3 linked regions of the Macaca mulatta genome follow. The protein of the gene in region 2 purifies or fractionates together with the protein of the main gene of each other region. This does not show direct contact. Links are inferred from orthologs where the notes say so. Each region holds a gene or a part of one and is shown on either strand. Other genes may lie near its edges.

The links. The genes of interacting proteins can lie anywhere in the genome.
Region 1: the proteins of NCL (region 2) and STAU1 purify together in Homo sapiens (affinity purification with mass spectrometry; 4 studies listed by BioGRID and IntAct, with this or other methods). This does not show direct contact. The link is inferred for Macaca mulatta from reciprocal best matches to the Homo sapiens genes NCL and STAU1.
Region 3: the proteins of NCL (region 2) and DHX9 purify together in Homo sapiens (affinity purification with western blotting; 3 studies listed by BioGRID, with this or other methods). This does not show direct contact. The link is inferred for Macaca mulatta from reciprocal best matches to the Homo sapiens genes NCL and DHX9.

Annotation. Positions count from the first base shown.
Region 1 is NC_133415.1:101,962,165-101,973,338, reverse strand, and holds part of STAU1 (double-stranded RNA-binding protein Staufen homolog 1), read left to right. Parts: intron 1-4,841; coding exon 4,842-4,980; intron 4,981-6,788; coding exon 6,789-6,954; intron 6,955-11,174. UniProt on the Homo sapiens protein: Binds double-stranded RNA (regardless of the sequence) and tubulin.
Region 2 is NC_133417.1:136,709,827-136,721,000, reverse strand, and holds the end of NCL (nucleolin), read left to right. Parts: intron 1-325; coding exon 326-806; intron 807-1,473; coding exon 1,474-1,671; intron 1,672-1,767; coding exon 1,768-1,854; intron 1,855-1,891; exon of another isoform or gene 1,892-1,961; intron 1,962-2,040; coding exon 2,041-2,182; intron 2,183-3,238; coding exon 3,239-3,363; intron 3,364-3,999; coding exon 4,000-4,123; intron 4,124-4,584; coding exon 4,585-4,742; intron 4,743-5,584; coding exon 5,585-5,708; intron 5,709-5,939; coding exon 5,940-6,073; intron 6,074-6,184; exon of another isoform or gene 6,185-6,264; intron 6,265-6,573; coding exon 6,574-6,700; intron 6,701-6,773; exon of another isoform or gene 6,774-6,910; intron 6,911-7,085; coding exon 7,086-7,309; intron 7,310-7,456; coding exon 7,457-7,533; 3' UTR 7,534-7,961; downstream 7,962-11,174. UniProt on the Homo sapiens protein: Nucleolin is the major nucleolar protein of growing eukaryotic cells. It is found associated with intranucleolar chromatin and pre-ribosomal particles. It induces chromatin decondensation by binding to histone H1.
Region 3 is NC_133406.1:40,345,831-40,355,917, forward strand, and holds the end of DHX9 (ATP-dependent RNA helicase A), read left to right. Parts: coding exon 1-23; intron 24-117; coding exon 118-245; intron 246-1,166; coding exon 1,167-1,396; intron 1,397-1,547; coding exon 1,548-1,663; intron 1,664-2,542; coding exon 2,543-2,743; intron 2,744-4,383; coding exon 4,384-4,750; 3' UTR 4,751-5,161; downstream 5,162-10,087. UniProt on the Homo sapiens protein: Multifunctional ATP-dependent nucleic acid helicase that unwinds DNA and RNA in a 3' to 5' direction and that plays important roles in many processes, such as DNA replication, transcriptional activation, post-transcriptional RNA regulation, mRNA translation and RNA-mediated gene silencing.

The DNA of each region.
Region 1 (11,174 bases), on a different chromosome or scaffold from region 2:
TATTTATTTTTGAGATGGAGTCTCGTTCTGTGGCCTAGGCTGGAGTGTAGTGGCGCGACCTGCTGGGATTATAGGCACGAGCCACCGTACCTGGCTTTCTTTTTTTTTTTTTTGGGATGGAGTCTCACTCTGTTGCCCATACTGGAGTGCACTGGCGCAATCTTGGCTCACTGCAACCTCTGCCTCCTGGGTTCAAGTGATTGTCCTGCCTCAGCTACCCAAGTAGCGGGAATTACAGGCGCGTGCCACCACACCTGGCTAATTTTTGCATTTTTAGTAGAGATGGGGTTTCACCATTTAGGCCAGGCTGGTCTCGAACTCCTGACCTCAAGTGATCTGCCTGACTTGGCCTCCCAGAGTGCTAGGATTACAGGCGTGAGCCACTGCACCTGGCCAATAAAGGATTCTTTATGTTTTTTTCCTTTAGTGGGAGCTGTGCACTGAGGGAATCCTAAAAGTAAGACCTACAAGAAAAATCAGCTATGAAGGCAAGTTGCCCCACCCCTTAAGGCACCAAACTTAAATGACCTAGACATACTGAAATCCAGATTTCCCCTGTAAATTGTTTGTAAGTGAGATAAAGTGATATTCAGCGATAACATCAGAAAAGTAAAAGCTTCAATTAATTTTTTTTTTTTTTTTTTTTGAGACGGAGTCTTACTCTGTCACCCAGGCTTGAGTGCTGTAGCGTGTTCTCAGCTCACTGCAACCTCCACCTCCAGGGTTCAAATGATTCTCTTGCCTCAGCCTCCTGAGTACCTGGGATTACAGACATGTGCTACTACACCTGGCTAATTTTTGTATTTTTAGTAGAGGCAGGGTCTCACCATGTTGGCCAGGCGAGTCTCGAACTCCTGACCTCAGGTTATCGGCCCGCCTCGGCCTCCCAACGTGCTAGGATTACAGGTGTGAGCCACCACGCCGGGCCGCTTCAGTTGATTTGATAAATTCCGAAGTAACGAATCTCAGATCTTTGGGGTGCATCAGAATTACTTTGGGAACTTGTTAAAAATACAAATCCTCATTCCTTAAATCCTATCACTTTGGAAGGCTGAGGCAAGAGGATCACTGGAGCCCAGGAGTTTAAGACCAGCCTAGGAAACATAGGGAGACGCTGCCTCTGCAAAAATTAAAAAATTAACCAGGTATGGTCTGGGCACGGTGGCTCACGCCTGTAATCCCAGCACTTTGAGAGTCCGAGGCGGGCAGATCACAAGGTCAAGAGACGGAGACCATCCTGGCCAATATGGTGAAACCCCGTCTCTACTAAAAATTCAAAACTTAGTTGAGCGTGGTGGTGTATGCCTGTAGTCCCAGCTACTCAGGAGGCTGAGGCAGGAGAATTGCTTGAACCTGGGAGGCAGAGGTTGCAGTAAGCTGAGATCATGCCACTACACTCCAGCCTGGCGACAGAGCAAGACTCTTGTCTTTAAAAAAAAAAAAAAAAAAAAAAAAAAAAAGCCAGGTATGGTGGTGTGTGCCTGTAGTCCCAGCTACTCTGGAGGCTGCAGTGAGCTATGATTGTGCCACTGAGCTCCAGCCTGGACAGCAGAGTATGACCCCATCTCAAAAATTGAAAAAAAGGGTGGTTATGCTTTCAAACAAGAGCCCACAAACACATTGCAGCATCAAAACATTGTCTTAATTTGTGTGAAGTACTACTATGTGTTTAAATCAAGTGTACAAAATCTCTTTCATGAGAAGTAATTGGAAGAGAATTTTGAGGCTGGACATGGTGGGTCATGCCTGTAATCCCAGCACTTTGGGAGACTGAGGCAGGTGGATCACTTGAGGTCAGGAGTTTGAGACCAGCCTGGCCAACATGGTGAAACCCCGTCTCTACTAAAAGTACAAAAATTAGCCGGGCATGGTAGCAGGTGCCTGTAATCCCAACTACTTGGGAGACTGAGGCAGGAGAATTTCTTGAACCCAGGAGGTGGAGGTTGCATTGAGCCGAGATCACACCACTGCACTCCAACCTGGGGACAGAGTGAGACTGTGTCTCTAAAAACAAAAAAGAATTGCAGTGCATACACAACACAATCTCTTTTTTTTTGTTTGTTTATAAAAACGACAAAAAAGGATAAGAAGGGGATGACAGGATGAATTATCAAGATAAGACCAGGCCTCTTAAACCGTGACCATAGAAAGTGTTCAAGGTTCAAGTGACATACTGCAGTCAATGTCAGGTTTCACGAATTGAGAGCTCACACTTTTCATTTCTAGGAATTTACAGTACTGCTGACACTTGGAGATCAGCACCGGTGAGCTGAGTGAACTGGTATTAAAAAGATCAAATACACAGTTGCTGCTAAAGCTTTGGAGGGAACAAAATTTCCTAAGCCCACAGTCTGTCCTTTAGTAGCGAAGGAAGGAATCCAGGTCTTATGCATGGGCCAAACAGGTACCTTTCAAAAGTGTATCTAGAGGTACTACCATTTAATATGTATACGAATGGTTTCTTAACAAACTTGTCGATTTTGAAAGCACAGATTCTACACAACCAGTGACAAATGCTTATTTTTTGGGAATCTTAACCTCATTGTAAAGCAGTGGTTTCCAATCTGTGATGCCTCAACGCCTGACAGTCTGGAAAGGCGGTCAAGGCGGTCGTAGGAAGGATGGCAGGTGACCAAATAATTTCAAAGATTTCCGAAAAATTTAATGAAATATATTTTTGATAAGATTGTATAGATTAGCAATAATATAAATTTTATCTAGAGTCACATCAAGTCAGTGTGGTAATATCGATTGTAATTTTGTTGGTCAGAAGTGCTTATTGTCAGTTGTATGTCTCTTAATTAAAAAGAATGAGAAAATGTAATATTAAATGTAAATATTACTTAAATACAAGCCAGCAGGTAGTATCTCCTCAAACAAGGGACCCATGCAAGGGGAGTATGCTAATCAAGAAGGTGTGGCTGGTGAAGGGTTGGGGATCAGTGACCTGGAGGCTGTGTCATTAATGGCTGTTTTAGCAGAGACCCCCTCAGATGCATGAAGTCATCCCAGATCTTGGTATGTAGGAAGGAATCTGGGAAGTTATCAGTCACATCTTTCTTGTTACTTTTGATTTCTTTGCAGTATACTTTCTTCATGGTTATTCTCTATTGCAGACAAATTCTGTGGATCAGAACTGCTCTTAAAATGATTCAGACTGTACTTAAAATGCAATTATATGAATTCTGTAAAAAATATAATTCTAATGCAAGAAAGAGAGAGATCTGTAATTCATGTGGCCCTCTGTGCAAACCCCAATGTTATTCTTATAGAGTTGATTCATGCATTAAATTTAGTTGAACCAATTATAGTACAGAATAAGGTCTTTTTTATTTCTCTGTATATACACCCTAAAGAGGCATTTTAAAGTGGATTTTTGTGTGCATTTAGATTTTGCCATTTCTAGTGTTCTGTTTTTGATATGAAAGTGTTGTTTTTAAATATGATTGTGCACTGACACTAATCTTTCCAGGCTGGTTTTCTTTTTAAATGGTTTTTAAAAGTTTATGGATTGGATGAACTGAGAGAAAGAAAAATTGGAAAATGAATAGCATGTATCTTCTGAAGTTGATACATTTTGAGATAACTTGTTGTATATGAAAATGGAACTCATTTTCCTAGCAAGTATTACCACAGGTCAAATTCCATTAGAAATATCAAGAATGGAAATACCTGAATATTTTGTGGGCCTTGTGTAACTTCTCCAAAAAGAATTGGGTTGCGGTCGCCTCAGTGATTTTTCACCTTGAGTTGCACATCGTGTTGTATTGTAGCTCTTTAAGTGTGCTTTGTGTTCTTTGAACTCCTCTGGGGCAGGAATTGTTTCTTTTTTTTTTTTTTTAGACAGAGTTTCACTCTTGTTGCCCGATGTGGAGTGCAGTGAGGCAATCTCGGCTCACTGCAGCCTCCGCTTCCTGGGTTCAAGTGATTCTCCTGCTTCAGCCTCCCAAGTAGCTGGGATTACAAGTGCGTGCCACCATGCCTGGCAAATTTTTTGTATTTTTAGTAGAAATGGGGTTTCACCATGTTAGCCAGGCTGGTCTTGAACTCCTGACCTCAGGTGATCTGCCCGCCTCAGCCTTCCAAAGTGCTGGGATTACAGGCGTGAGCCACTCTCACTGCAAGGTCTGCCTCCTGAGGCCATTCTCCTGCCTCAGTCTCCTGAGTAGCTGGGACTACAGGTGCCCACCACCACGCCCGACTAATTTTTTGTATTTTTTAGTAGAGACGGAGTTTCACCATGTTAACCAGGATGGTCTTGATATCCTGACCTCGTGATCCGCCTGCCTCGGCCTCCCAAAGTGCTGGGATTACAGGCGTGACCCACCATGCCTGGCCAGGAATTGTATTTCTTAAGCTTAGCACAGTGCTTTGCATCCAGTTAGTAACGTAATAAATGCATCATTCAATAGTGTGTACAGATATACTTCTGAGTGCAAGCCAATAATCCTGTAAATCAGTACAACCAAGGTTATATTGATTAAATATTCTCAAACACTAAAATAATTTGGACATTTACATGGGATTTTTTAATCGTGAAATTTGATGTGTTTTGGAACTTATTTCTGACAGCTGTACCATATAGCTTTCACTGATAATGTCTTGGGTTAAATTGTGGCTCCTCTGATAACCCTCAGAGTAGATTTTGTGCTGTTGACTATATATAAATATCGAGAAATCACAGCATATTCTTGGATTTCCTTGTCTGATGCCTAGCAGTGACCCAGGTCCTTTTATGTATCATGAATCCGATTAGCAGAAAGCATGCTATTACATTTTATTTTAGTGAGTATCATTCTCATATCAGAACAAAACAGTTATTTGTCGATTCTTTCTTGTAGAAAGCATAACTCCTACTGTAGAACTAAATGCACTGTGCATGAAACTTGGAAAAAAACCAATGTATAAGCCTGTTGACCCTTACTCTCGGATGCAGTCCACCTATAACTACAACATGAGAGGAGGTGCTTATCCCCCGAGGTATGTGTGAGTTTTTTTTTTTCTCCATAAAATACAGGTGAAAATGTGTGATATTTTACATAAACTAGTACCTCTAGATTGTGGAGGGAGTAATGATTTGGTTTGGGCCTGCCAAATGTTGAAGTCGGTCTTAATTACTCTTGTGCCTTGTGCCCCTCCCCTGCCTTTTTTTTTTTTGAGACAGAGTCTTGCTGTGTCGCCCAGGCTGAAGTGCAGTGGCGCTGTCTCGGCTCACTGCATCCTCAGCCTCCTGGATTCAAGTGATTTCTCCCTGTCTCAGCCTCCCGAGTAGCTGGGATTGCAGGCGCCTGCCACCACGCCCGGCTAAGTTTTTTTTGTATTTTTTAGTACAGACGGGGTTCTGCGATGTTCGCCAGGCTGGTCTTGAACTCCTGACCTCAGATGATCTGCCCACTTTGGCCTCCCAAAGTGAGTCCCAAACTCACAGAGCACCCGGCCGCCCCTCTTTTTTTTTTTTTAATTCATTGAGACAGTGTCTCCCTATGTTGCCCCAACTGGTCTTGAACTCCTGGGCTCAAGGAGTCCTCCTGCCTCAGCCTGCCACAGTGCTAGGATTAAAGGCATGAGCCACTATACCCGGCCCTTTGTGCTTCTTTACTGCTCTTGGAAAGGGCCTGAGCATATTTCTCACTGGCAGTGTGGCTTGTGCCCTCTAGCAGCCTGGCTAAAGATCACCCTTGTAACTGCTTTGTGTAACTGAATCTTATTCAAACATGATTCCCATAGCATCATGATTCCTGCAAGACAGTGATTCCCAGCATTTGTAGATTACCTGATAATTGGGTACTTTTTGACTTTTGAACTTGTGCGCTTTGTAAATAGCTTTGTTGCAGTAAAATATTAATTGAAACCTGAAAATGCCATGGATTAAAAAATCTTTTGCCGGCAGTAGTAAGACATTAGTGGAGGCCGAGCGCGGTGGCTCATGCCTGTAATCCCAGCTCTTTGGGAGGCTGAGGTGGGCGGATCACGAGGTCAGGAGTTTGAGACCAGTCTGGCCAACACAGTGAAACCCTGTCTCTACTAAAAATATGAAAATTAGCTGGGCCTGGTAGTGGGCACCTATAATCGCAGCTACTCAGGAGGCTGAGGCAGGAGAATCACTTGAATCCAAGAGGCAGAGATTGCAGTGAGCTGAGATCACGCCACTGCACTCCAGCCTGGGCAACGAGAGAAACTCCATCTCAAAAAAAAAAAAAAAATTAGTGGATAGATGATGAACAAAATGGAATTCTTCATTTCCCTGCTCTCTGTTGGGGGATAAAGCCATTTTAAAAATACAAGCTATGAAATGGATAAGAAACTGGGTTCTGCTAGGGAAATGAATGAGAAACTGGGTTCTGCTAGGTAGGCTACAGCTTGTTGGGATTTCTTGAAATGAGGGTCCTTTCTAAAAGACTTGTGCGTTAAAATTCCCAGCCTTCTATTGGAGACATGCAAATTTAAAGCTAAGGTTTGAGAAGGCAGAGCAAACCAAGTGTCTGTCTCCGCCAAAGCCTAATTCATTTTAGATTTTGTCAGTGCAGGTTAGCATGATAAACTCATAATTTCTAAGCCATTGTGTTTCCTGAGATGTAAGTTTGGATTGCTAAAAACTCTTTTCTTATACTGTGTAGCAATTCTAATCCAGTTTAAGCTTTTATGAAATCTCTGGATATATTGATGAAGAGTGATTAGCATCAAACACTAATGTGAGTAGGATCGTGATGAAGGAACATTTGCCAGAGAGTGTATAGGTGACTTATCAACTTGAGACTGTAATTTGCCTAACCTCCTTTTATTTCTAGGTACTTTTACCCATTTCCAGTTCCACCTTTACTTTATCAAGTGGAACTTTCTGTGGGAGGACAGCAATTTAATGGGAAAGGAAAGACAAGACAGGCTGCGAAACATGATGCTGCTGCCAAAGCATTGAGGATCCTGCAGAATGAGCCCCCACCGGAGAGGCTGGAGGTAAGGAGCGGAGCCCAGGCTCCCTGACGCTTCGACAGGGTGGGAGGGTAGTGGGGAGATGTCACTGCACGTTATCTTTTCTAAGAAGGCATGTTGACAGCTGTCCATAATTTTTATTTGAATGCCTCCAAGATTTTATGCTCTGTAGCTTTCTTGCTTTTTACCCCTTTTTTCGTTTTAAAATTTCTTAACAAGAAAGTCAGTTGCCTTCTTTTCCAGTCTATGGCATGGTTTTGAGTGACATGGTGTGAACACGTTAGAAAGTTTGCGATTCAATTGAGTTGTGAAGAACATGTACGGATGAAGTCTTCAGTACTGAAGATTTTGCTTGTGATATATGGTACCAGGTTAGAGAATTTTCTGAAGCTGTTTTTGACCAGCCACTCTTGATTATATAGAAGCGCCTGTTATCTATTGCCTCATAACAAACCGTCACAGAATTTAGTGATGGTTTAAACATCTCCAGGCATTTATTTTGCTCATAAGTCTGCAACTGAGGCCGGGCTTGGTAAGGGTAGCTTGTCTTCATTCTACACAGCTTTGGTTGAGGTGACTCTGCAGGGGGCTGGAAGATCTGCTTTTAAGATGGCTCACTCGTGTGGCTGGTAAGTTGGTGCTTGCTGTCAGCTAGGAGCTCAGCTGGGTCTCTGGCCCCAGGACCTCAGTTCATCCCTGGGTGACCTATGGAAGGATTGCTTACACTTCCTCATGGTATGGTGGCTGGTTGCCCAGAGTAAGCATCCTAGAAGATGGGAAATGGAAGCAGCTGCCAGTTTCTTAAGGCTTAGGCTCAGAAATCACAGCATCGTGTCTGCCATGTTCTACAGGTCAAGCAGGCACAGAGCCCAGATTCAAAGGAAGGAGATATAAAATGTCACTTAAAAAAAAAAATTGAGGTGGCCAGGCACAGTGGCTCACGCCCGTAATCCCACCACTTTGGGAGGCCAAGGCAGGCAGATCATGAGGTCAGGAGATCGAGACCATCCTGGCTAAGACGGTGAAACCCTGTCTCTACTAAAAATACAAAAAATTCGCTGGGCGTGGTGGTGGGAGCCTGTAGTCCCAGCTATTCGAGAGGCTTAGGCAGGAGAATGATGTGAACTCAGGAGGCAGAGCTTGCAGTGAGCCGAGATTGTGCCACTGCACTCCAGCCTTGGGGACAGAGCGAGACTGTATCTCAGAAAAAAAAAAAAAAAAAAATTGAGGGTAAAAATTATATAACCTAAATTGACTAGTGTAAGTGTACAATTCAGTAGATTTTAGTACATTCACAATATGGAGAATCCCATTTCCAGATGATGAAGGGATTGTCAAAGAATTAGGGACCATGCTTTAAAACCACCATGATAGGAAAAGGATTATTAACATTTTTGTGACTCAATAGCAATATAATTCTTAGGGAATCAGTAACTCCATGCCATTGAGGGGGTCAAAGCATTAGTGAATATCTTTGGCCAGGCAGAATCTTATCACAGGTAGAGTCACAAAGGCCAGAAGAAGCCCAGTGAATTGAAAACATTGAGATTTCATAATTCTGTTTAATCACAGCAGGAAATGCCACCTGAAAATATCTCTGGGTAGCATTTGACTTTTCTTCACCAGGAAACATGTTCACAAAGAACAAGAAGATCCTGCACAGAACAGTGGGCTAAGTATGTGATGAGAGGTGTAGACCCAAGCGGACCTTGGGCAGGGTGCCTGCTGAGGTCTGTTGTATCCAACTGCCACCCAGGGCGACCCAGCTCGGGCTTCATGGCTGGCTGCACAGGAACGATTTGTTTTTCTTTCGTTACGCTGCGTTTCCATTTTCCACTGTAATCACCTATTCTAGTAGATGATCTGTTTCCATGGCCCACTAAGGACCAAATCAAAGAAAATGAGGCTGTAGCTAAAAGAGGAGGATTTAGTGAAGTTAAAAGGATGAGCTTTTCAGTGGTGAGATTTGTTAAAACACCAAAAAGGTAGTGGAATTTGAGTTATTTTGGAGGCTCTTCAGCTTTTTACCTGACTGGTGCTAATCTTAATTGGAGTCAGATGGAATAGGTATTTCTAGTACTTCCAGCCAATAGTTGATAAACAATTGCTGGACACTGCTATATGGATTTTGTGCATCACAATCACTTGAGAAGTTAAAAAAAGAAATTCTAGGCCCAACCCCGGGATTCTAATGCAGTAGGTCTAGGGTAAGACTCAGGAATCTGGCTTTTGCTTTTATTGTTCTTGCTGGGTTTTTTTTTTTTTTTTTTTTTTTTTTGAGACAGTCTCCCTCTGTCACCCAAGCTGGAGTGTAGTGGCATGATCTTGGCTCACTGCAACCTCCACCTCCTGGGTTCAAGCGATTCTTGTGCCTCAGCTGCCCGAGTAGCTGGGACTACAGGTGCTCACCACCACGCCCAGCTAAATTTTGTATGTTTAGTAGAGATGGAGTTTCACTGTACTGCCCAGGCTGGTCTCAAGCTCCTGAGCTCAGGTGATCTGACCACCTTGGCCTTCCAAAGTGCTGGGATTACGGGCATGAGCCACCATACCCAGCCATGTTGTTAGTGAGCTCTTGGAGTGATTCTGAGGTATGGTCAAGGTTGGAGAACCACGGATCTAAGCGCTGTCAGCACTTCCCCAGCAGTTCTTCCCCTTGACTCCTCCATGAGAATGATGAGAGTATTGCTACAAAGGATAAGTGCCTATTGGTATTTCTGAGTCTCCCACCTTCACTCACTAGAGCAGCGTTGGTTGGCACAGTCCTGAGGGCAGCAGTTGTTGTGGACATGTTCTCCTGGGCTGTTTTCTCACTGGGTCCTGTGAAAACTCTGAGGAGCTTTGCTGGGGAAAAAACAACAACAACAACAAAAACACCTTTTTTCACTGACGTGTATATTTTGAATATGTTACGTCATTTACTTAAAATTCCTTGGAGGACTCAAATTCAGCACACACCTAAGCACTTTTTAATGGCTGCAAAGTGTTCCACTAAGTGAATGCACTGCTTTGTTTTCCAGCAGGGACTTGATTATTTAGGTTGTTTGTAGTTTTCCCTCTTATGAAATGGGTCGGGAAGAACATTGTTGCAGTAAAGTCTTTGTCCACAGTCCTAGAAGTAGAATTGCTGAACCAGCGGGTATGCACAGTGGTACATATGGCCAAGTTCTCCACAGGAAGAGGGTGCCATTTTACAACCTGCTGACAGGCCATAAGCAACCTGTCTGTCCACAGCCTGCCAGCATTGGAAATGATAATTTTAAACAAATTGTCAGGTTAGCTGTGGCAAATTTGTGGAGCATGTGATTGTGTGGTGGATCAATGCATCTTCTCTAGAAGATACGCAGTAAAGCCAGCACTTGCTGTCTACAGGACAGGTATAGTCTGGGCCCTCTATGCCAGGCGCTGCCCTAGACCCTGAGTTGAAAACAGCCAGTGCCGTCCCTTTTCCTGTGAACTTGGTCAAATGGAGCTGCCACACATTAACATCAATATCAGCAAAAAGTGCAGTTAGTACAAGGATGGAAAAGTGACAAGGATTAGAAGAACGTAAAGTATTTCATTTAGGTTGGAGTAATGGTGGTGAGTTCAGAGCAGTCTTTTCAGAGGAAGAGACATTTTGGCTGAGACTAAAGATCAGCAAAGAGCAGGGACAGTGTATGCCCAGAGAGGGAGCAGCAGCTGCAAAGGCCCCAAGTTAAGAAAGTGCATGGATTATTTGTTTATTTAATCTAAGGTTTGTGCTAACGAAGGATGAGTTTTACTCAGTGTCCGAGCTATTAGGAGCAGTATGGTCATAGCTACAGTATCTGTAATAGAGAAAAACAGGAGCTAGCTTAAATGTCCATTACTAGGGAAGTGGTTAAAAAAATGGCTATGTTTATCCCATGAGTACGAGTGTGGTATCTCATACACAGGCATGAAAGGGGATGAAGTTGCAGAGCTGTTACTGTGTGTACAGTGTGATCCTGTTGGTGTTTCAGAAAACAGTAGAGCCAGCTGTAAGTGTGTATGTATTTTTGTTTGTTTCTTTTCTTTTGTTTTGGAGACAGGGTCTCACTCTGTTGCCCAGGTTGGAGCGCAGAGGCCCAGCATGCAGGCTTACTGCAGCTTTGACGTCCCTGGGCTCAGGTGATCCTCCCATCTCAGCCTCCTGAGTAGCTGGGACTATCGATTCATGCCACCACGCCCTGCTAATTTTTGTATTTTTTTGTAGAGATGGGGTTTCGCCATGTTGCCCTGGC
Region 2 (11,174 bases):
TGTTATACGTGTAATATGATACTATTACCATTTTCAGATGAGAAAGTTGGGGTTTGGGAAAATATGAGGTGCAAGAATTCAGAGGTCTGGTTCAGAGGTATTTTAAGTGTTCAAAAGGGTTCCTTATGGCTGGGTATTCACCTGATAATAAGGGCTCTGACCTAAGACAACATAACAGAAGCCTGGAGTTTAACATGCTAACATGTGTCTAGCGCATGTGGTCTTGAACCAGAAGCATTGGCAGAATCTAACACTCACTGGGACCATGGTTATCTTTTTGGGTGTGGGGCTGGACTTACTGGTTTGGTTTTCATTTATTCTCAAGGTTGTCATACCTCAGAAGAAAGGCAAGAAGGCTGCTGCAACCTCAGCAAAGAAGGTGGTAGTTTCCCCAACAAAAAAGGTTGCAGTTGCCACACCAGCCAAGAAAGCAGCTGTCACTCCAGGCAAAAAGGCAGCAGCAACACCTGCCAAGAAGACAGTTACACCAGCCAAAGCAGTTGCCACACCTGGCAAGAAGGGAGCCACACCAGGCAAAGCATTGGTAGCAACCCCTGGTAAGAAGGGTGCTGCCATCCCAGCCAAGGGGGCAAAGAATGGTAAGAATGCCAAGAAGGAAGACAGTGATGAAGAGGAGGAGGATGACAGTGAGGAAGATGATGAGGATGATGAGGACGAAGATGAGGATGAAGATGAAATTGAACCAGCAGTGATGAAAGCAGCAGCTGCTGCCCCTGCCTCAGAGGATGAGGATGATGAGGATGATGAAGATGATGAGGATGAGGATGATGACGATGAGGAAGATGGTAAGGAGTTGTCTTGGTAGTTACTGGGCTTCTGATTGCAAGATATCTTGAGATTCTGGGATCAACATATTCCACAACAACCTGGAGATGAGAGTAGAGTCCTTGTGGGAATTCTCTGGGCTGTTGTGTGTTAGACTTAATTACCCATGAATGATTTTTGTCCCTCCTGAGAAAATTTCAACAGCACATTCTGTGAGTGTTTTTCATAATGTAGGATTTTGTTTCTTAGTGATCTTTTTTGTTTTGTTTTTGTTTTTTAATTTTTTTGACATGGGAGTTTTTGCTGTTTCCTAGGCTGGAGTGCAGTGGCGCGCTATCTCAGCTCACTGCAACCTCCATCTCCAGGGTTCAAGCAGTTCTGCCTCAGCCTCCCAAGTAGCTGTGATTACAGGCGACCACCACTATGCCCTACTAATTTTTGTATTTTTAGTAGAAACGAGGTTTCACCATGTTGGCCAGGCTGGTCTCGAACTCTTGACCTCAGGTGATCCACCCACCTTGGCCTCCCAAAGTGCTAGGATTACAGGCGTGAGCCACTGTTCCTGGCCCCAAGTAATCTCTTCTTGCCATGACTATTAACTAAACATGGTGACAGGATTGCATTAGATTTTAAAACCGATGTTGGTTTTGGGAGATTGCTGCAATTTTTAGGTGGCTTATCTTTCAGACTCTGAAGAAGAAGCTATGGAGACTACACCAGCCAAAGGAAAGAAAGCTGCAAAAGTTGTTCCTGTGAAAGCCAAGAACGTGGCTGAGGATGAAGATGAAGAAGAGGATGATGAGGACGAGGATGATGACGACGATGAAGATGATGAGGATGAAGATGATGATGATGAAGATGAGGAGGAAGAAGAGGAGGAGGAAGGTAATTAGATTCTGACATACATTGACATGAGTTGTTTAAAGGAGGCACTTAAGTGTTTGTGGCTATTGATGGGTAATACATTGACATCTTGTCCAGAGCCTGTCAAAGAAGCACCTGGAAAACGAAAGAAGGAAATGGCCAAACAGAAAGCAGCTCCTGAAGCCAAGAAACAGAAAGTGGAAGGTAACTTGCAGAATTAGGGGATGTGGGGGAGATAAACAGCACAAATGATGAATGACAAAGGGACTTAATACTGAAACATGATGTTACATTGCAGTGTGCTGATGTGCTGTGTATAGAAATTTTGCTTTGGAAACTAACTTTTTACCACACTTCACAAGTAGACTGAGTTCAGCTTTTTTTGTATAGGCACAGAACCGACTACGGCTTTCAATCTCTTTGTTGGAAACCTAAACTTTAACAAATCTGCTCCTGAGTTAAAAACTGGTATCAGCGATGTTTTTGCTAAAAATGATCTTGCTGTTGTGGATGTCAGAATTGGTATGACTAGGTAAGTGCTTCATGCACATTACATACACATGGGTCTGTTAATACTTTTCCTTCCCTTATTAGCACAGTTACTTTAGCCTGCCACTCCTAAACATGAATAGTGTAAACATTTTCAAGGATTAGCATTAGTGAACTAAGTTACAATTAAACTATAGAGTCCCTGGATTGCAATTTCCAGTCAGTTGTAACTTGGTATAGCACAGAATAATCTTAGTAAGTTTTTTTGTCTTTTTTGTTTTGTTTTGTTTTTTATTGAGACGGACTCTGGCTTTCGCTCAGGCTGCAGTACAGTGGCGCAATCTTGGCTCACTGCAACCTCTGCCTCCCGGGTTCAAATGATTCTCCTTCCTAAGCCCCCTGAGTAGCTGGGATTACAGGTGCACGTCACCACGCCTGGCGAATGTTTGTATTTTTAGTTGAGACAGGGTTTCACCATGTTGGCCAGGCTGGTTTCGAACTCCTGACCTCAAGTGATCCACCCAGCTTGGCCTCTCGAAGTGCTGGGATTACAGGCGTGAGCCACTGTGCCCAGCCTAAATTGGGGTCTTGAGGCACCAGTGTTGGTGTTAGGCAGGAGAATCGCTTGAACCTGGGTGACGGAGGTTGCAGTGAGCCAAGTTCGCACCACTGTACTCCGCCTGGGCAACAGATCGAGACTCTGTCTCAGTTTAAAATAATAATAATTTGATGTTTATTTTCTTGGAAGTACCTGAAACTATTAGACCTGACTAGTCATCATAGTGAATGCTTTTATCCAGGCAGGATTCTCCTGTATTAGTGCTTACAGGTGTTCTTTTGTCAGCTGCTACTGTGAATTGTTATAAGCAATTTAGCTAATGATGATGACCTCAAACGTGAATGTGCACATCATATCTCCGTACTGAGACCTTATTCTGTAGCTACAATTTGCAGAGCCTTGACTTTGTTTTGCTAATATTAGGGGTGCTTTTTAAAATGTGATCTTTGTTTGCATCATCACATTTGTCTAGAATACATATTGTGGATTTCAGTTTGTGTTTTCATCTGTTGTAATTTTGCCCTTCTCTCCACCTTGAAGGAAATTTGGTTATGTGGATTTTGAATCTGCTGAAGACCTGGAGAAAGCCTTGGAACTCACTGGTTTGAAAGTCTTTGGCAATGAAATTAAACTAGAGAAACCAAAAGGAAAAGACAGTAAGAAGGGTATGTAAGGCTTTAGGAGATTATGCAATAAATTCAGGAGCTAGACTGCTAGGGAAAATGCTTTGTAACCCATTTCCCTTGGTTTCCTCTCTTTAAATTTTTTTTTCCCCTTGGTTTCCTCTTAATGTGGGAATTAAATGAGCTGGTGTTTACAAGAGTACTTGGCACTGCTTGCTAGTGTTACAGTGTAAATTCTTGAGTTAGGCAAGCAAGAGCACTTTTATACAGAACACGAATTATTAGATGCACCTAAATTAATGTAAAGGGGTCTTCACTGAAACTAGATTAGGTCCCTAATTACTGTTTGCATCCTTTACTTTATTTCTCTATGTACAGTTGTAATGTTGTAATGTTTTAAATTGGTACGTTCACCTTTTTTGTTTCTAAAAATAATATGCATCTACTCCAGGTTGAACTCTAGTGTACCCAGCGGATAGTTTGACATCAGCTGTGACAACATGGAGGGACCACTTGTGTGTTGACACTGCTATATCTCCAAGGCACAGAGCCTTGTACATTATAGGATCTCAAATTATTTGTTGAATAGAGCTATGTCTTTTTTTTCCCCCTCTTTGTTGTTGCCCCCCACCTTTGGTTTTTCAGGCCATGGAGCTCATTTTTGTTTTTTTAATCTAGAGCGAGATGCGAGAACGCTTTTGGCTAAAAATCTCCCTTACAAAGTTACTCAGGATGAATTGAAAGAAGTGTTTGAAGATGCTGCGGAGATCAGATTAGTCAGCAAGGATGGGAAAAGTAAAGGGTATGTTCTGTCTATTGAAATGTAAGGGTTTTCTTAACATGAATACACATTCCTGCTTTATAAAAGAAATGTTGGTTTGATTTTCTTAGGTGTGTAATTTTGGGCAGTTTAACCTGTAAATTTGTGCCTCAATTACCCATCTGTACCATGGGGATAACGTACTCATAGGGTGATTTTAAAAGACAAGGTAATACATATAAAGGAGCAAGAAATGTGCCTAGCTTACAACAAATATTTTGTGAGTAGTAGTTCAGTGAGGTGAGGTTACTGTGAAAAAATTTTGAGTATTTGTAAAACTGTAGTGGGAAGTAAGAGGGAAGCTCAAGTTTGATTGAAAAGTAGCATAAAACTAAGGGCATTTATTGTATTCAGATCTGAAGCAAGTTCTGTGTTGCTGAGGTATAAAAGCATTTGTGTTAATGTGATTTTAAAAACCATGAGTTCTTCTCCCTCCATTGCAGGATTGCTTATATTGAATTTAAGACAGAAGCTGATGCAGAGAAAACCTTTGAGGAAAAGCAGGGAACAGAGATTGATGGGCGATCTATTTCCCTGTACTATACCGGAGAGAAAGGTCAAAATCAAGACTATAGAGGTGGAAAGAATAGCACTTGGAGTGGTAAGAAATTAGGCTTGTTACTGGGTTCCAGAATTGATGGAGGGAACTCCTTTGTGTCTTTGTACTTCATAAGTTTATACTTTTTAATCAAAGTTACTTAAATGTAGGTGAAGATCAAGGACATTATACCCTAAGTTATACTCTTATTTGGAATAGTAATTTCCAATCTTGAATGAGAGCTGTAAAATCATTTTGCATTGGAATACAGTAGGCAAATCAAGCTTCCTTTTTGTAGGTATGTTTTATACTTTAAATGACTTCGACTATGTGTGTGTGTGTGTTTTTTTTTTTTTTTTGAAACAGTCTCGCTCTGTGGCCCGGGCTGGAGTGCAGTGGCCGGATCTCAGCTTACTGCAAGCTCTGCCTCCTGGGCTTACGCCATTCTCCTGCCTCAGCCTCCCGAGTAGCTGGGACTACAGGCGCCCGCCACCTCACCCGGCTAGTTTTTTGTATTTTTTAGTAGAGACGGGGTTTCACCGTGTTAGCCAGGATGGTCTCGATCTCCTGACCTCATGATCCGCCCATCTCGGCCTCCCAAAGTGCTGGGATTACAGGCTTGAGCCACCGTGCCCGGCCGACTATGTGTGTTTTGAACTCAGATTATTGTTCTAGGAAAACAGGCCAGTAGTCAGCCTATACATAAAGAACCACCACCAGAACATTGCAACATGTACTAAGTACTTAATATGTTGAGTAACAAAAGTGGATTTCACTTACATCATCAGTATTTGTGTGTTAACTCTTTCAAGCACTGAAATGCTTAGGAATAAAATATTACTGCTCTGACCGAAGCTGGGAACCACTGTTTCAGAGTCTTAGGAATGTGGCATCTCTATTTGCAGGTGAATCAAAAACTCTGGTTTTAAGCAACCTCTCCTACAGTGCAACAGAAGAAACTCTTCAGGAAGTATTTGAGAAAGCAACTTTTATCAAAGTACCCCAGAACCAAAATGGCAAATCTAAAGGGTAAGATAATTAATACCTTTATATCAGTTACAGGCTATATATGTCTTACAGGTCTAAAGGAACGTAAGGTCATGTGATCCTGTCAGAAAAGCCAAATAATTTTAGCTACGTAAATGAGTGTAAAAGAGCGTCATTTAGGTACCAACTTGAGAGAAGGCTTGGCAGCATCTTGTGACAGTGAAGGAGCACGTGCTTGGTAACTTACTCTAAGCATTAACTGTTCATCCTCAGGTATGCATTTATAGAGTTTGCTTCATTCGAAGATGCTAAAGAAGCTTTAAATTCCTGTAATAAAAGGGAAATTGAGGGCAGAGCAATCAGGCTGGAGTTGCAAGGACCCAGGGGATCACCTAATGCCAGAAGCCGTAAGTTCACCTGGATAGGATGCTGTGGTTGGGGGTAGCACTCTCAGTGCTTTTGGTGTTTATTTTTTGCACAAATTCTGTGTTTCCTGTTGCTACTGAGTGAACAATAACTGGATATGATGACTGATTACCTGAGAAATAATTGATGAAATCTCAAGAAGATTCCTCTAGATAGTCAAGTTCTGATCCAGCTGTGTCAACTCAGAGCAGCAAGTTTGCCCATGATTTCCTGCCCCATCCAGTGGGCAGCACCTGCTTGGGTTCTTCTCCCACTTTCCATAGAAGATGTGGGGCAGAATATCAACTATGCAGTGGCAGTTTAAAAAATGTAAACTCAGAATAGCCTTACTTTAATTAAGGACTAGTTGGCTTAGTTGCTTTTCACTGCTTTTCCACTAAGACAAGCATTCTTGGCCAGTAGTCATACCAGGCATTGTGCAAATTCAGTGTTACTACGAACTGTGACTTCACATAAAGTCACAATTTTTTTTCTTCCCCAGAGCCATCCAAAACTCTGTTTGTCAAAGGCCTGTCTGAGGATACCACTGAAGAGACATTAAAGGAGTCATTTGACGGCTCTGTTCGGGCAAGGATAGTCACTGACCGGGAAACTGGGTCCTCCAAAGGGTAAGGGAAGAAAGCATGAGTGCTGCTTTCACTTGAAGGGGTTTTTGTTCGGTGGAGACCTTGAGTCTAAGGTGTCTTCTCATTGAGCTCCTTTCTGTCTATCAGTGGCAGTTTATGGATTCGCACGAGAAGAAGAGAGAATTCACAGCACTAGCATTATTTTACCTTCTGTCTTTACAGAGGTATATTTAGCTGTTTTGTGAGACATTCTGGGGTTCAAGCTGTCACACCAGTTAGTTTTCCATAGAGAGCTACTCTGTCACTGGTATATTTTCCAAACTAAACAAGGCTACTTTCTGTGGGATGGCTCCCCAGTGTGTGCCGTTAACTTGGGACATGTGCAGTAGGTGCTTTTTATAATGGGCAATTTCATTTGGTGTTCTAGGTTTGGTTTTGTAGACTTCAACAGTGAGGAGGATGCCAAAGCTGCCAAGGAGGCCATGGAAGATGGTGAAATTGATGGAAATAAAGTTACCTTGGACTGGGCCAAACCTAAGGGTGAAGGTGGCTTTGGGGGTCGTGGTGGAGGCAGAGGCGGCTTTGGAGGACGAGGTGGTGGCAGAGGAGGCCGAGGAGGATTTGGTGGCAGAGGCCGGGGAGGCTTTGGAGGTAAGGCACACAGGGATAATGACTTCAATGTCTACTGGACACCACGTAGCATATGCTCTTTAGACCGTGCCTTGTCACGGTTCCTAATCACTGGGAGGAGGAACTTTGTACCTATTCTTTTAACAGTGTCTTGCCTTCCCCCTGTAGGGCGAGGCGGCTTCCGAGGAGGCAGAGGAGGAGGAGGTGACCACAAGCCACAAGGAAAGAAGACGAAGTTTGAATAGCTTCTGTCCCTCGGCTTTCCCTTTTCCATTTGAAAGAAAGGACTCTGGGGTTTTTACTGTTACCTGATCAATGACAGAGCCTTCTGAGGACATTCCAAGACAATATACAGTCCTGTGGTCTCCTTGGAAATCCGTCTAGTTAACATTTCAAGGGCAATACCGTGTTGGTTTTGACTGGATATTCATATAAACTTTTTAAAGAGTTGAGTGATAGAGCTAACCCTTATCTGTAAGTTTTGAATTTATATTGTTTCATCCCATGTACAAAACCATTTTTTCCTACAAATAGTTTGGGTTTTGTTGTTGTTTCTTTTGTTATTATTTTTTTTTTTTTGCGTTCGTGGGGTTGTAAAAGAAAAGAAAGCAGAATGTTTTATGGTTTTTGCTTCAGCGGCTTTAGGACAAATTAAAAGTCAACTCTGGTGCCAGACGTGTTACTTCCTAAAGAGTGTTTCCACTGGAATGTCACTGGAGAGCATGGCAAAGCCAGCTCTGCCACTCACTTCACCCATCCCAATGGAAATGGCGTAGTGCGTGCGTTTCCAGTATCCCAGCCCCCAACTTGGTTGAAATGCTGGTGAGGGGACCCGCTCCTGCAGCCCTGATGCTGATGAAGGCTGCTGCAGCTTCTCCCAGTTTTAGCAGGTTTGAGGATTATGTCCTGTAGAAGACTCTGGAAAGAGGCGCAGGAACACATTAGGTCTCCTAGGACAAGGAAGGGCATCTGGGAAGAGCAGTGGCTCACACCTGTAATCCCAACACTTGGGGAGGCCGAGGTGGGCAGATCACCTGAGGTCAGGAGTTGAAGACCAGCGTTGCCAATGTGGTAAAACCGCATCTCTACTAAAAAAAAAAATTAACGGGGCGTGGTGATGTACTGCTGTAGTCCCAGCTACTCAGGAAGCTGAAGCAGGAAAGTCACGTGAACCCGGGAAGCAGAGGTTGCAGTGAGCTAAGCACGCACCACTATACTCCAGGCTGGGTAACAGCGAGTCTCCAAAACAGTTCTGGAATAGAACTCATGCTAGGTGGATAGACCAGTGGACACTCAGGGACCATGCGGCTGGGGAGGAAACCACATCAAGTAAACCCCTAAAAAGCCATTTGTTCTGTACTATGTATATTCTTTATTCTTTCTGGTCTTAAGTACTTGCCTCAACCTCCACTTTTAGTAAAAGACGAAGGCCACATGAGAGGTGGGACTATCAACAACGTGATGAATTTAGATGAAACCCAGTGCCCAAAATCAACATAGGTAGCCAAGTGCAAAACCCTGTTTTAGTCAGACTAGCGAAATCCAACTATGATACTTGGATAAGCTTAGAAGGCAACATGCAGAACCTTAGCTGGTTTAAGTTTACCCTGGTTGAGCTGGGCTGCTGAAATCTTAACATCCTTGTGCTTATCACCTACTGCTTGTCAGCCCTGTTCCATGTCCAGGGGACGGGGGTGGTGACAATCCAGTTACAAGACTCACGCTCTAGAGAGGAAGGCGGCCAGTGAGGGTTGTAGCTATGATAAAAAGCAGTGGGAGGGTCTCCCATGAGGCAAGCCTAAGGACAAAAAAAGGAAGGCCTTGCAGTCTGTATTCTAGATAAGGAATTGAAGGCTTTTAGATAACAAGCCCATAAGGGGTGTTGTGGATTAAGTCTCAAATTGCAGCAAGGGAAATAGTATGAACATAAGAATCTACAGTGGTTTTCAAGAAAGATCCTGTGAGGCCGGGCACCACACCGTGGGTCATACCTGTAACCCCAACTCCTTGGGAACCTTGGGTGTGGAGATGGCTTGAGCCCAGAAGTTTCAGACCAGCCTAGACAACAGTGAGACTCCCATCTCTACAAGAGATGGTCATGATGGCATAAGCCTGCAGTTCTCGGGAAGCTGAGGTGGGAGGATTGCTTGATTCCGACACTGCATTCCTCCAGTCTGGGTGACAGAAACAGTTTGAAAAACCTTGTGAAGTTGGTGTCTAGGTCTTCTGGAATCTATGAAATGCCTCCAGGGTTCTCCTTGGTTCCCTGCAGCCTTCACCCAGTTGAGAATGTGCTGCAGCTGGTTTCTTTGTGCAATCTTTGGGAGGCTCATGGGTTAAAGTAAGTGATAGTCTATATGCTGTGTGGCCATCTGTTGGGATTGCTGGTGGCTCTGGTGCAGCACAGCCACTGCTTTTTCAACACTTGGAGAGCCTATGGGAGTGGGATTTTGGTAGGTTCCCTTGCTGTGTGCAAGGGAGGGCTTGAATTGCAGGAAGAGCTCATGGCTCCCAAGGTGGGGCTTGCATTGCTATCAAGTTGCTGTTAATAATGGGACAGTTGCTGTTTGTGTACTCAGCAGCTGGGCGTTTTCCTCAGCCCCTCTACTAACTTGCTGCGAGGCAAGACAAGGGCAGGACACTAAGGTTCCTATCTCCTGATTCTTTTTCTTTCCTATTCCTTAAGGCAAGTAGAGATGGTCCAGTCCTGTGATTTGTCAGTGCTTGTTCTAATCATATGTGCTGATTTCCTATAGAATGAAGATGAGGGCCGGGTGCGGTGGCTCAGGCCTGTAATCCCAGCACTTTGGGAGACTGAGGTGGGTGGATCAGCTGAGGTCAGGAGTTTGAGACCAGCTGGGCCAACATGATGAAACCTCGTCTCTACTAAAAATACAAAAATTAGCTGGGCGTGGCAAGGGGGGCACCTGTAATTCCAGCTACTTGAGAGGCTGAGGCAGGAGAATTGCTTGAACCTGGAGAGCGGAGGCTGCAGTGAGCCTCCGCCCTCGACAAAAGCGAAACACTATCTCAAAAAAAAAAAAAAAAAAAAAAAAAAAAGAGGATGGAAGGTAGATTACCCTGCAGGGCCAGAAAGAGACACTGGGGCTTGTGATTAGGGACTGAAGTCAAATTCACAGTCTTCCCTGGTGCCTGTCTCTAGTTTCTGATTCGGTGGTGTTTGGAGCCATTTTAGAAAAGTGATAGTTTTCTTCTGCAAATGGTTGTCACCACATTTGTCATGCTTCCAGCAGGTGGCAGCATAAGTCCACAAGGATCTGGAAACTCCTGCCGGAGGGAGGCCTGGTGATGACCTGGCTGCAGGCCTGTGCATCTCTAACTCCAAACTCACCGTCAGATTTCGGACCAGTGGACAGGCCCAGAGAGTCCCCCACCTCGAGTGATGCTGCACAACCCCTGCAAAAGGAGTTGCCAATTGGATCCTACAGCTAAGATTTTTTGGAGGCATGTCCTGTGCCCTTTCTCTGAGAGTTACCCTGTTATCTTTGTGTCTCACTGTCTCCCCTCAGCCTAAAAAAAAAAACTAAAGCTTTTCTCACTCCAAAAGACTGTCCCCCGACCCTGCCACCTCACACAGTTGTCTCCTCTTCTCTTCATTGCCAAACTTTCAGGATGAGCATACTCTAGCCTCCTCGAAGTGTGGCTTCTGTCCCCCTTCCTCCATCGTGATCATTAAGGTGCCAAAGCCAGGGGTCAGTCTTCCCTCAGTTCACCTTCTTCCCTGCGGCATCTGACAGACTCCCTCCTTCCTGCCGAAACTCCTCCTCCACCATTAAGAATTTAGGCAGTAGGGCCAGGCACGGTGGCTCACGCCTATAATCCCAGCACTTTGGGAGGCCAAGGCGGGTGGATGACCTGAAGTCAG
Region 3 (10,087 bases), on a different chromosome or scaffold from region 2:
TTCCAAGCCTGGGATGATGCTAGGTATGAGTAAGATTTGGGTGGTCTGTCTGTAGTTTCTCATTTGTATTTAGTTCTCGGGTCTTAGAGAATGATTTCTCATACCGATTTATTTTAGAATGGGTGGAGAAGAAGCAGAGATACGTTTTTGTGAGCACAAAAGACTTAATATGGCTACACTAAGAATGACTTGGGAAGCCAAAGTTCAACTCAAAGAGATTTTGATTAATTCTGGGTTTCCAGAAGGTAAGACTCCCATTCTTAAGATACCTTTAAAGTGACATTTATATAGTACATGCAAATTGACAGCAAAGTGTATTTTAGCTTCAAATTTTAGACCCTATGATTTTTCTATATTCCCAACTATTTCTTAGTTCTCATGGATACTGGTCCAGCTCCCAGAATGAGTACTTTGCTGATAACCTTATAGTGGTTTGCAAAGTAATTGATTAGCATTTAGACTTGAAGTAAATTCTACCACATTAAATTTTAAATGGCTTTAATATAAAGATGAACTGTAGTACTTTTCTTTTCCAACTAGGTTAAAATATAGAATTATTTCCTAAAACATTGAGAACTGGAATGCATAACCAGAGATAAGACTGTTGAGAGACAGAAGGTAGTTGGGCAAGATGGTAAATTTTTAACGGCTGTGATTGGAATAACTTAACAGAGTAGTGAGTGGTTCTCTTCTGTCATAAGCCAGCTGAAATGTTAGTTTCTCCTCAGAATTATAAGAAAGGGAAAACTTTTTATGTGCTAGAGTCTTGAGATGCATTTTATAAGTAATGAAACAGGCACCAAGGTATAAATTGTCTTTAATTTATCCAATTACGAGGTTATAAGGCTAGAACTCGTTTGTCTAGAACAAAATATGTCTGTGCTTTCAGCGGTTGACTGTCATGCTTTCCAGTCAGTAGCTAAGTACTCATAAAGTGTAGACTGGGTAAAAACGTCAGCCTTCATTCCAGTAGGTGTCCTCTTAGATTATCATTCCATCTTCTCTACAACTAACAACTATTGAAGAGTAGCAGATGAGAAAGTTTTACAGACAGGTTATGTGAAGAGAGGAAGAGTCAGTTCTCTGAATTTTCTTGAATAGTTTGCATGTAATGTGAAGATCAGCCAATTATCTGATTTTTCTTTTCACTCTGCTCCTCTTAACAGATTGTTTGTTGACACAAGTGTTTACTAACACTGGACCAGATAATAATTTGGATGTTGTTATCTCCCTCCTGGCCTTTGGTGTGTACCCCAATGTATGCTATCATAAGGAAAAGAGAAAGATTCTCACCACTGAAGGACGTAATGCACTTATCCATAAATCATCTGTTAATTGTCCTTTTAGTAGCCAAGACATGAAGTACCCATCTCCCTTCTTTGTATTTGGTGAAAAGGTAAGAAAAGACTACAAAAGTTAACATTGAAAGTTGAAATTGTCTTCACAATCATTAGGAATATGAATTTTGATTTTCAAAGCACAGTATGTGGCGGTATTTGGAAGTTGGAATGTCAACCATTTTGTACTGTCTCTTTCTCCATTTGCAGATTCGAACTCGAGCCATCTCTGCTAAAGGCATGACTTTAGTCACCCCCCTGCAGTTGCTTCTGTTTGCCTCCAAGAAAGTCCAATCTGATGGGCAGATCGTGCTTGTAGATGACTGGTATGGATTTTCCGCTGTGAACTCCAAACTGAATTCTTAGAATTATAATATGATGGAATTCAGCTGCTAATCTAACTTAATTATATACTAATTATAACTTAAATATATACTAATTATATCTAACTTAATTGCATAGTATATACTTAAACGGATACCAGTAGAAGCAGATGCATTAGAAATTTGAGCCATGTCTAACCACTATGCACACCACTATGGAATCAATCTAAGTGAAACTTGAATACACTTTCACATACTCTCTATATTGATTCAAAACTAGTGGCAAGCACTGGGCAAAAATGGAATAGAGCTTAATGGATAGCCAGTAGGCTCAGCCATCATATTCTTGAAAACCTAGAAAATGCCAGCATTCTGGGTCTCTTAATTCATTCTTTTAAAGTCTGGATGATCTGGCTGGGTGCCGCAGATGAGTTGGGCTCAGGAAGTTCGAGATCAGCCTGGACAACATGGTGAAACCTGTCTCTACTAAAAATACAAAAAATCTAGCCCAGTGTGGTAGTGCACACCTGTAGTCCCAGCTATTCTGGAGGCTGAGGCAGGAGAATCACTTGAACCTGGGAGGCAGAGGTTGCAGTGAGCCAAGATCATGCCACTGCACTCCAGCCTGGGCAACAGAGCAAGACTGTGTCTCAAAAAATAATAAGTCTGAATGATCCATATTGCCGGACTTTCTTTTGTTTATTATATATTACATATATTTTTGTATTTTATTTGGCTTGATAGACTTTAAGTAGTTTTTAAAAATATTAATGCTTAAGAAGTTAAATTTATTCTTTAACTTGCCATGTGTGAGGTTGAGAGATAATGGTCTTTTTCTTCATATACTCCCTCTCTTACTTTTAATGTTTTTCGCCACTTTAGGATTAAACTGCAAATATCTCATGAAGCTGCTGCCTGTATCACCGGTCTCCGGGCAGCCATGGAGGCTCTTGTTGTTGAAGTAACCAAACAACCTGCTATCATCAGCCAGTTGGACCCTGTAAATGAACGTATGCTGAACATGATCCGTCAAATCTCTAGACCCTCAGCTGCTGGTATCAACCTTATGATTGGCAGTACACGGTGAGTACCATATTAACTTCTCATTGAACCAAGTAGAGGGGAGAGATCTTTCATAGGTCTAGAATTCCTAGAGTTAGTGATAGAAGCCTTATTAAGTAAAATTCTAGATACAGATAGTTTAGTTCCATCTAACAAACTCAGAACAAAAATGTCATTTACTTTTGTTAGTCCCTTTGTTAGTAATTGGTCTACCGCATCAGTGCGTATTGGTAGTGTTGGAAAAGGATCTTACAAATACACATACGTAGTTCAGAGTAGGTCACATGACAGGGAAGTGACACAGCCCAGATAGCCCTTTTTCCATGGTACTGTTTTGGCATCTCTAAAGAAAAAATATTGATGAGATGTTAAATTGCTTCTTTATCCAATGTGTATGTGTTTTTGTTTATCTTAAACAACTAAGAGCATGGACATCTTAAAGCAAAGAAATGAGAAATTTATCTTAATTCTTAAAATTTTTATTTGCTTCAGGTTTTAAAATTTTTTCCTTTGCCCATGAGTTTTTATTTACAAATACTTGATACTTGCCAAAAAGGCAGAAAAGTGATACAATGTTTAGCCATATAGTCTTTGTTTAGATTCACTAATTTTCAGCGTTTTGTACATTTCCTTAATCATTTGTGATGAAGTAGTAGGCACTACCACATTTTACATCAATACACTTCATATCTTTTAAGAACATGGTCACAATACCACCCCAAAACCTTAAGTGTTTTAGTAATACTATAATATGCTATTGTACTAAAATCCTTCCAGTTATCCAAAAATGACCTCTAATTCCTCATCAAAAATGACTTACTGCATTTGGTCTGTCTATAAAATGGGTAGATGGTTATCCTCATTCTCTTTAATATAAATAAGGAAACCGGGCACAGATAAGACTCAAGGTCATACAACTAATAACTGATAGAACCAGATTCAAACCCAGGCAACATGCCTCCTGAAACAGTGTTCTTACTAGGCTTTACTGTGGCCCTCCTAGGTGCTTAAATGTATAGGATAATTCAGTAAGCATCATAGGCAGATAACAAATTAAGTATTCATGGGTGTTTAGGAGAAGAGAGATTATTTTTGGTAGGAGGGCTGGTAAGCAAGGAACCTTTGTATATATAATCTGTTTCTATGAGGGATAGTAGTCCAGAAACTAGAAAGAAAGGGATATACGTAAGAGAGTTTAGGATGTATGAATATGTGGTGGCCTAAATTACAGTAGTAGATAGAATTTTTCAAAATTAGATATACATTTTTCAAAATCGTATTTCAGAATTATTGCAGGAAAACTTTTAGTGATAAAGACCAAATAGTTTATTGGCAGCTCCAGGAACCCTCTCCTAATGCTTGCCTTCTTGGAACACTATGTTGTTGACCTGAGTAAGAGCACTTCTTAAAGTTGTAATGACATACTGCCAAAATTCAAAACCTTTGAGATTGAACCAGAAAGAACTTCAGAAAAACAGATGGATATAATTGATGACTGTTTTAGAATAGCAGATCAATTTTGTTTCAATTTCGATTTGTGCGTTTGGCTTCATTCCCTTTATGTATTAAATTTTCAAATATAACTAACTGTGTGCATTTGGTGAGTGGTTGGGAAATAATAAGAATGCTTTGCTGAAGTGATGGTTTTGTGCTTTTCCTAGGTATGGAGATGGTCCACGTCCTCCCAAGATGGCCCGATACGACAATGGAAGCGGATATAGAAGGGGAGGTTCTAGTTACAGCGGTGGAGGCTATGGCGGTGGCTATACCAGTGGAGGCTATGGTGGCGGAGGCTATGGTAGCGGAGGCTATGGTGGCAGCCCCAACTCCTTTCGGGCAGGATATGGTGCAGGTGTTGGTGGAGGCTATAGAGGAGTTTCCCGAGGTGGCTTTAGAGGCAACTCTGGAGGAGACTACAGAGGGCCTAGTGGAGGCTACAGAGGATCTGGGGGATTCCAGCGAGGAGGTGGTAGGGGGGCCTATGGAGGTGGCTACTTTGGACAGGGGAGAGGAGGTGGTGGCTATTAAATCTTGGTTATGTCAGTTCCTGTGTGTAGACAGTAAGGAAAAAAAGGCATGCTATGTGTTACGTGTTTTTTCCAATATGTTTATTTGCCACCAAAAAGTAAATGCATTTTCACCCATTCTGTGGTTCATTGTAGTTTAAGGAAACCAAGCATATAGATGCATTAGTGATTTTGTTTATATTATGTAAAATATAACGATCTATCTTAAAAATACCACAGTTTGTATTTTTTCTTTAAGGAGTAAAGATTTGCCTTTAAATAACTTGGTATTTTCCTGGCTTTCGTTTAATACAGTAGAAAATAAAGTATTACACCGAATACTTGCCGTGTAGTTTGTTGACCTTATATATTAGAAAATTTTATAATGCCAGTTACATCTGTTCATTTTAAATGTCAGAGAAGTTGTACCATGTTTCAAAAGTATACTAAGTGATACTACTTGTAATAGAAAAATCACCTTGGAATTGTTACCTTTTGAAGTAAATACTGGCAAGTGTACAAGCCACATAAACCTGAATAAAACTTTTGACCTAGGGCTGAACATTTGGCTTCCTCCCATATTCTGTCTTTGAATAAGACCAAGGCCAGCATTTTCTTTTCTAAGTGAGTTTCTACTGTGACAATTAAAAGCAATATAATCACTCCGTTAGAACTCTTAAGCCACTTTAATAGACATGTTCATACATTTATAACACTTTACAGTTTCCAGTGAATTTGCAGATTTCTCATTTGAGCAATGGGAGAGGGCAAAGGTATTGGATTAGACAGAACTGGGTCTGTCTTAATTCTTTTCTCCACCATGTGGATGATCTTGGGCAAGTCATATTTTTGTCTTGGTTTCCTTTTCAAAGTCCTTTATCCTGCATATATGTTGTAGATCACCTTCAGCAGTTAAGCTGATGGCACATATTTACAGACACACAAGTCTATCTCCAACCTTGATTTCCTTTCTGAGCCATGTAAGCAGCTGCATACTGAACATGTATCTCTGCTTAAATATCCCACAGAAAAAAATCTCAGTGCTTTCCAAACTGACCTCCTTCCCCTCCCAACCTACCCTATGTCCTGACAGTACTGTGTTCTCTGCTCCGTTTTCTTTGGAGTTTTCAGCTGCTTAATTGCTTAAGCCACCACCTCTAGTCAGCTCAAAACATCTTTCAATATACTTTTATAGATCAGTTGCCTCTGTTCTATTCAGTCTTAGTTTGGACATACAGTGCCACAGCAACCACTTAACTGATCCTGCCTACAGGCCTGCCTCAATCTAATCTCCACTACAGCTAGAGTAAACATTCCCAAACGAATCTGATTTCATACCCTCTCTCCTGACTTAAACCAATGGTTCTTACTGCCGGCAGGGTAGAGGCTAAACTCCCTTCTTAGCCCCTGACTCCAGCTCTACCTTCATTTCTGCTGTACAGCTGTAGCTAGCCATACTGAACTAGCACCATTGATGGAGCATGCTTTCTCTCCCTTTGCACGTTGTGAAAACTCCCATAAAAGGTATAGTAGCAGGACGAGCCGCAGACAAAACTCCTCTGACACCAAGTTAAAGAAGGGGTTTTTTCAGCCGGGGCATCAGCAAGACTCCTGTCTCAAGAGTCGAGCTCCCCGAGTGAGCAATTCCTGTCCCTTTTAAGGGCTCACAACTCTAGGGGTGCGTGTGAGGGGGTCATGATTGATTGAGCAAGCAGGTGGGGGCTGCATGCACTGGTAATTAGATCAGAAGAAAACAGGATAGGGATTTTCACAGTGCATTTCTATACAATGTCTGTAATCTATAGATAACCAATTAGGTCAGGGGTCAGTCTTTTAACTACTAGGCCCAGGGTGTGGCGCCAGGCTGTCTGCCTGTGGATTTCATTTCTGCCTTTTAGTTTTTACTTCTTTCTTTGGAGGCAGAAATCGGGCATAAGATGATACGAGGAATGGTCTCCTCCCTTAGTATAAAATCAATAATGGTTCATTTGAATGGTACTCATGCCTCCAACAAATTCAATTAGAAATGTGAAATTGAAAAATGGCCAAAAGTTGTCAGTGCATTCTCTAAAGGTTGAAAAAAAGCACTAAGGCATAGTTCTAATCTTTTCATATTCAGCTGAAGACCTAAGGAGCTTCATATGTAGCTCCCCGCTGTGTGTGCCCCACACATTTCAGCTGTCCTCCCCAAACTCGTTTGTCTCATAACTGCAGTGCTCTGCTTGGTAGTTTCTCCCTCCGCGGTGACCCAGAAAGTGCTTCCACATAGTCATGGACTTGTCTCATTGTTTTCCTTATTGGGGGATCACAGTTCTGCATTGCCTGTTGCCTAATGTCTGAAAGCAGCTGTTTCACTAGTTGCTTACATGGGAGGTTAAGTGCCATTTGTACTTGTCATAGCTGTAAGTGGGAATCCACTTCACTTGTCAAAGAATCCATTATAAAGTCCAGAAATCATGCCTTTTTTTAGATGAGACTTAAAAGAGCAGAAGGCTACATAGAGTATTTTGTGGTATATTAATACCTTCAGACATCAACTACTGTTGAATTTCTGTTTTGAGGCAGGGTCACCCAGGCTGGAGTGCAGTGGCGCAATCTCAGCTCACTTGCAACCTCTACCTCCCAGGCTCAAGCGATCTTCCCACCTCAGCCTCCTAAGCAGTGGGTAACTGGGACCACAGGCACCTGCCACCACCACACCCAGCTAATTTTTTTTATGTTTTGTAGAAACGGGTTTTCACCTGCCCAGGCTGGTCTTGAACTCTGGACCTCAGACAATTCACCCGCCTTGGCCTCCCAAAGTGCTGGGATTACAGGCATGAGCCACCACACCCAGCCTTCATTTCCTTTCTTAGTCATCTCTACATTCTGCTTAGAACAAAGACAATAGTTAAAGAATGTCACAGCAGGTGTGCAATGACTGAAAGTTCTTCCAAAATGAGAGCTTGAATACACACCGTTCCCGTTCAGGAGATGGGAGAGAGTTCGAGGAAAAAATTTGTAGAAAGGTTTCTGCTTACCACCCCTTCTCTCACAGCACATATCTACTGGAGTTTGCGGTAGTAGAGCTGGCAGTGACAACTGAGTCTGCCCTTCCAGAAGTTCAGACAGGAAAGACAGTGGCCTGAATTGCACCTGTTTAGTCCGTGGTTGGCAGCTTGAAAGTTATCTGGAAGAAAAAGCTGATGTGCCAGTTTGAGGAAGCCAAGCTGCAGACCTCTCTGTGTTAACAGAAGGTGTAGGTACAGTGTCCTCAAGCAAGCAGCTACAATTTGATGGGATCTTCTATGCTGTGGAGCTACACTCCAGACCCTCTGAACGTCACCTATGCCATAGGAACAGATCACAATATGAATAGTTGTGCCAACTTAGGGGTCAGCCCAAACAACAAGAAAGAAGACATCAACTTTAGCCAAGCATGTATTTGAATTCCAATTTCCCTCTCTCTGAATCTGGAAACAGAATTGGGACAGGAGGATAGTAAAGAAAACCAAAAATGGAATTTCTAATTTTATTGGAACTGATACGAATTTTGGTTTTGACTGGGAAAACAGCTCCTGAATTCTACTGTATTTGCCAGAAAGACTTAGACTTGAATTACTGTCTAGAAGACAAAAAGGGAAGTTTTTTAAAGTTGTATTTGTATAACTCATATTTGCAGACTGTCCTATCACATGTATAAAATATTTCTGGACCATGTGGGGAAAATGTAATATTGAATCTCAAAGTTAACCGAGGTTACCTGAATTTCTGAGACTATTTTAGTGATAATTTAGCTTTTAAGAAAAGATATGAGGAGAGGTGGAGCAAGATGGCTTAATAGAAACCTCCAGTGACCTTCTCCCCGCAAGAACACCAAACTGAAAACGATCCACACAAAACACCTTTGTAAGAACCAAAAATCAGGTGAGCGATCACAGTACCTGGAAAGAGGTATATTGAGGAAAGAGGCACGGAAGAAGGTAGGAAAGAGTCTTGACTTGCCTACATCACCCTTTCTCTGCCCTGGCAGCGGCCACATGGCACAGACAGAATCTGTGTGCCTGGCAGTGGGGGAACAATGTGAGACGTTGCGTTGGAACTGAGTGCTACTTTATCACAGTGCAAAGAAGAATTCAGCCCATGCCCTTGGAGGAAACATTTATACCTAGCCAGAGATGGCTAGGTATATTGATACCTAGATATTTATAGCCAGAGATGAATTGTCCTTCCCAGAGGTTGGAACCTGACTTCTGACACGCCCTGCCACTGTAGGCTTAAGTGCTCTGGGTTCCTAAATGAAAGGCAGTCTAGGCCACAAGGACTGCAATTACTGGACAAGTCGTGGTGGTGTGCTGGGCTCTCAGCCAGTTCATTTGAGGTACACACAAACTAGTGAGACACCAGCTGGGGCAGCCAACGGAGTGTTACGTCACCCCTTCCCCAAAACCAAGCACAGCTTGCAGCTTCTAGAAAGACTCCTTCCTTCATCTGAAAAATGGTTCAACATATGCAAATCAACCAATGAGACACATCATATCAACAGAATGAAGGATAAAAATCATAATTTCAATTGATGCTGAAAAACATTTGTTAAAATCCAACCATCCCTTCATGATTTAAATAAAACACTCAAAAAACTGGGTATAGAAGGACATACCTCAATACAATAAAATCCATATATGACAGACCCACAGCTAGAGTATCATACTGAATGGGAAATGACTTTCCTTTAAGATCTAGAACAAGACAAGGATGCCATTTTCACCATTGTTATTCAACATAACTGGAAGTCCTAACTAGAGCAATCAGACAAGAAAGAAATAAAGGGCATCCAAATTGGAAAGGAAAAAGTCAAATTATCCTTGTTTGCAGATGATATGGTCTTATGTTTGGAAAAACCTCAAGAATCCGGCAGAAAAACTACTGGAACAGATAAATTCGGTAAAGTTGCAAGATACAAACCAACATACAAAAATTAATAGCATTTCTATGCCAGCAACAAACAATCTGAAAAAGAAATCAAGAAAGTCAATTTACAATAGCTACAAATAAAATACGAATAAATTTCACCAAAGACATGAATGATCTCTACAATAAAAACTATAAAACGCCGATGCAAGAAATTGAAGAGGACACCAATAAATGGAAAAATATTCCTGTTCTTTGATTGGAAGAATCGGTATTGTTAAAACGTCCACAGTACCCAAAGCAATCTACAGATTCAATGCGTTCTCTATCAAAATACCAATGACATTCTTCACAGAAACAGCAAAAATAATTCTAAACTTTAAATGGAACCACAAAAGACCCAGAATAGCCAAAGCCATCCTGAGCATAAAGAACAAAACTGGAGAAATCACATTACCTGACTTCAAAT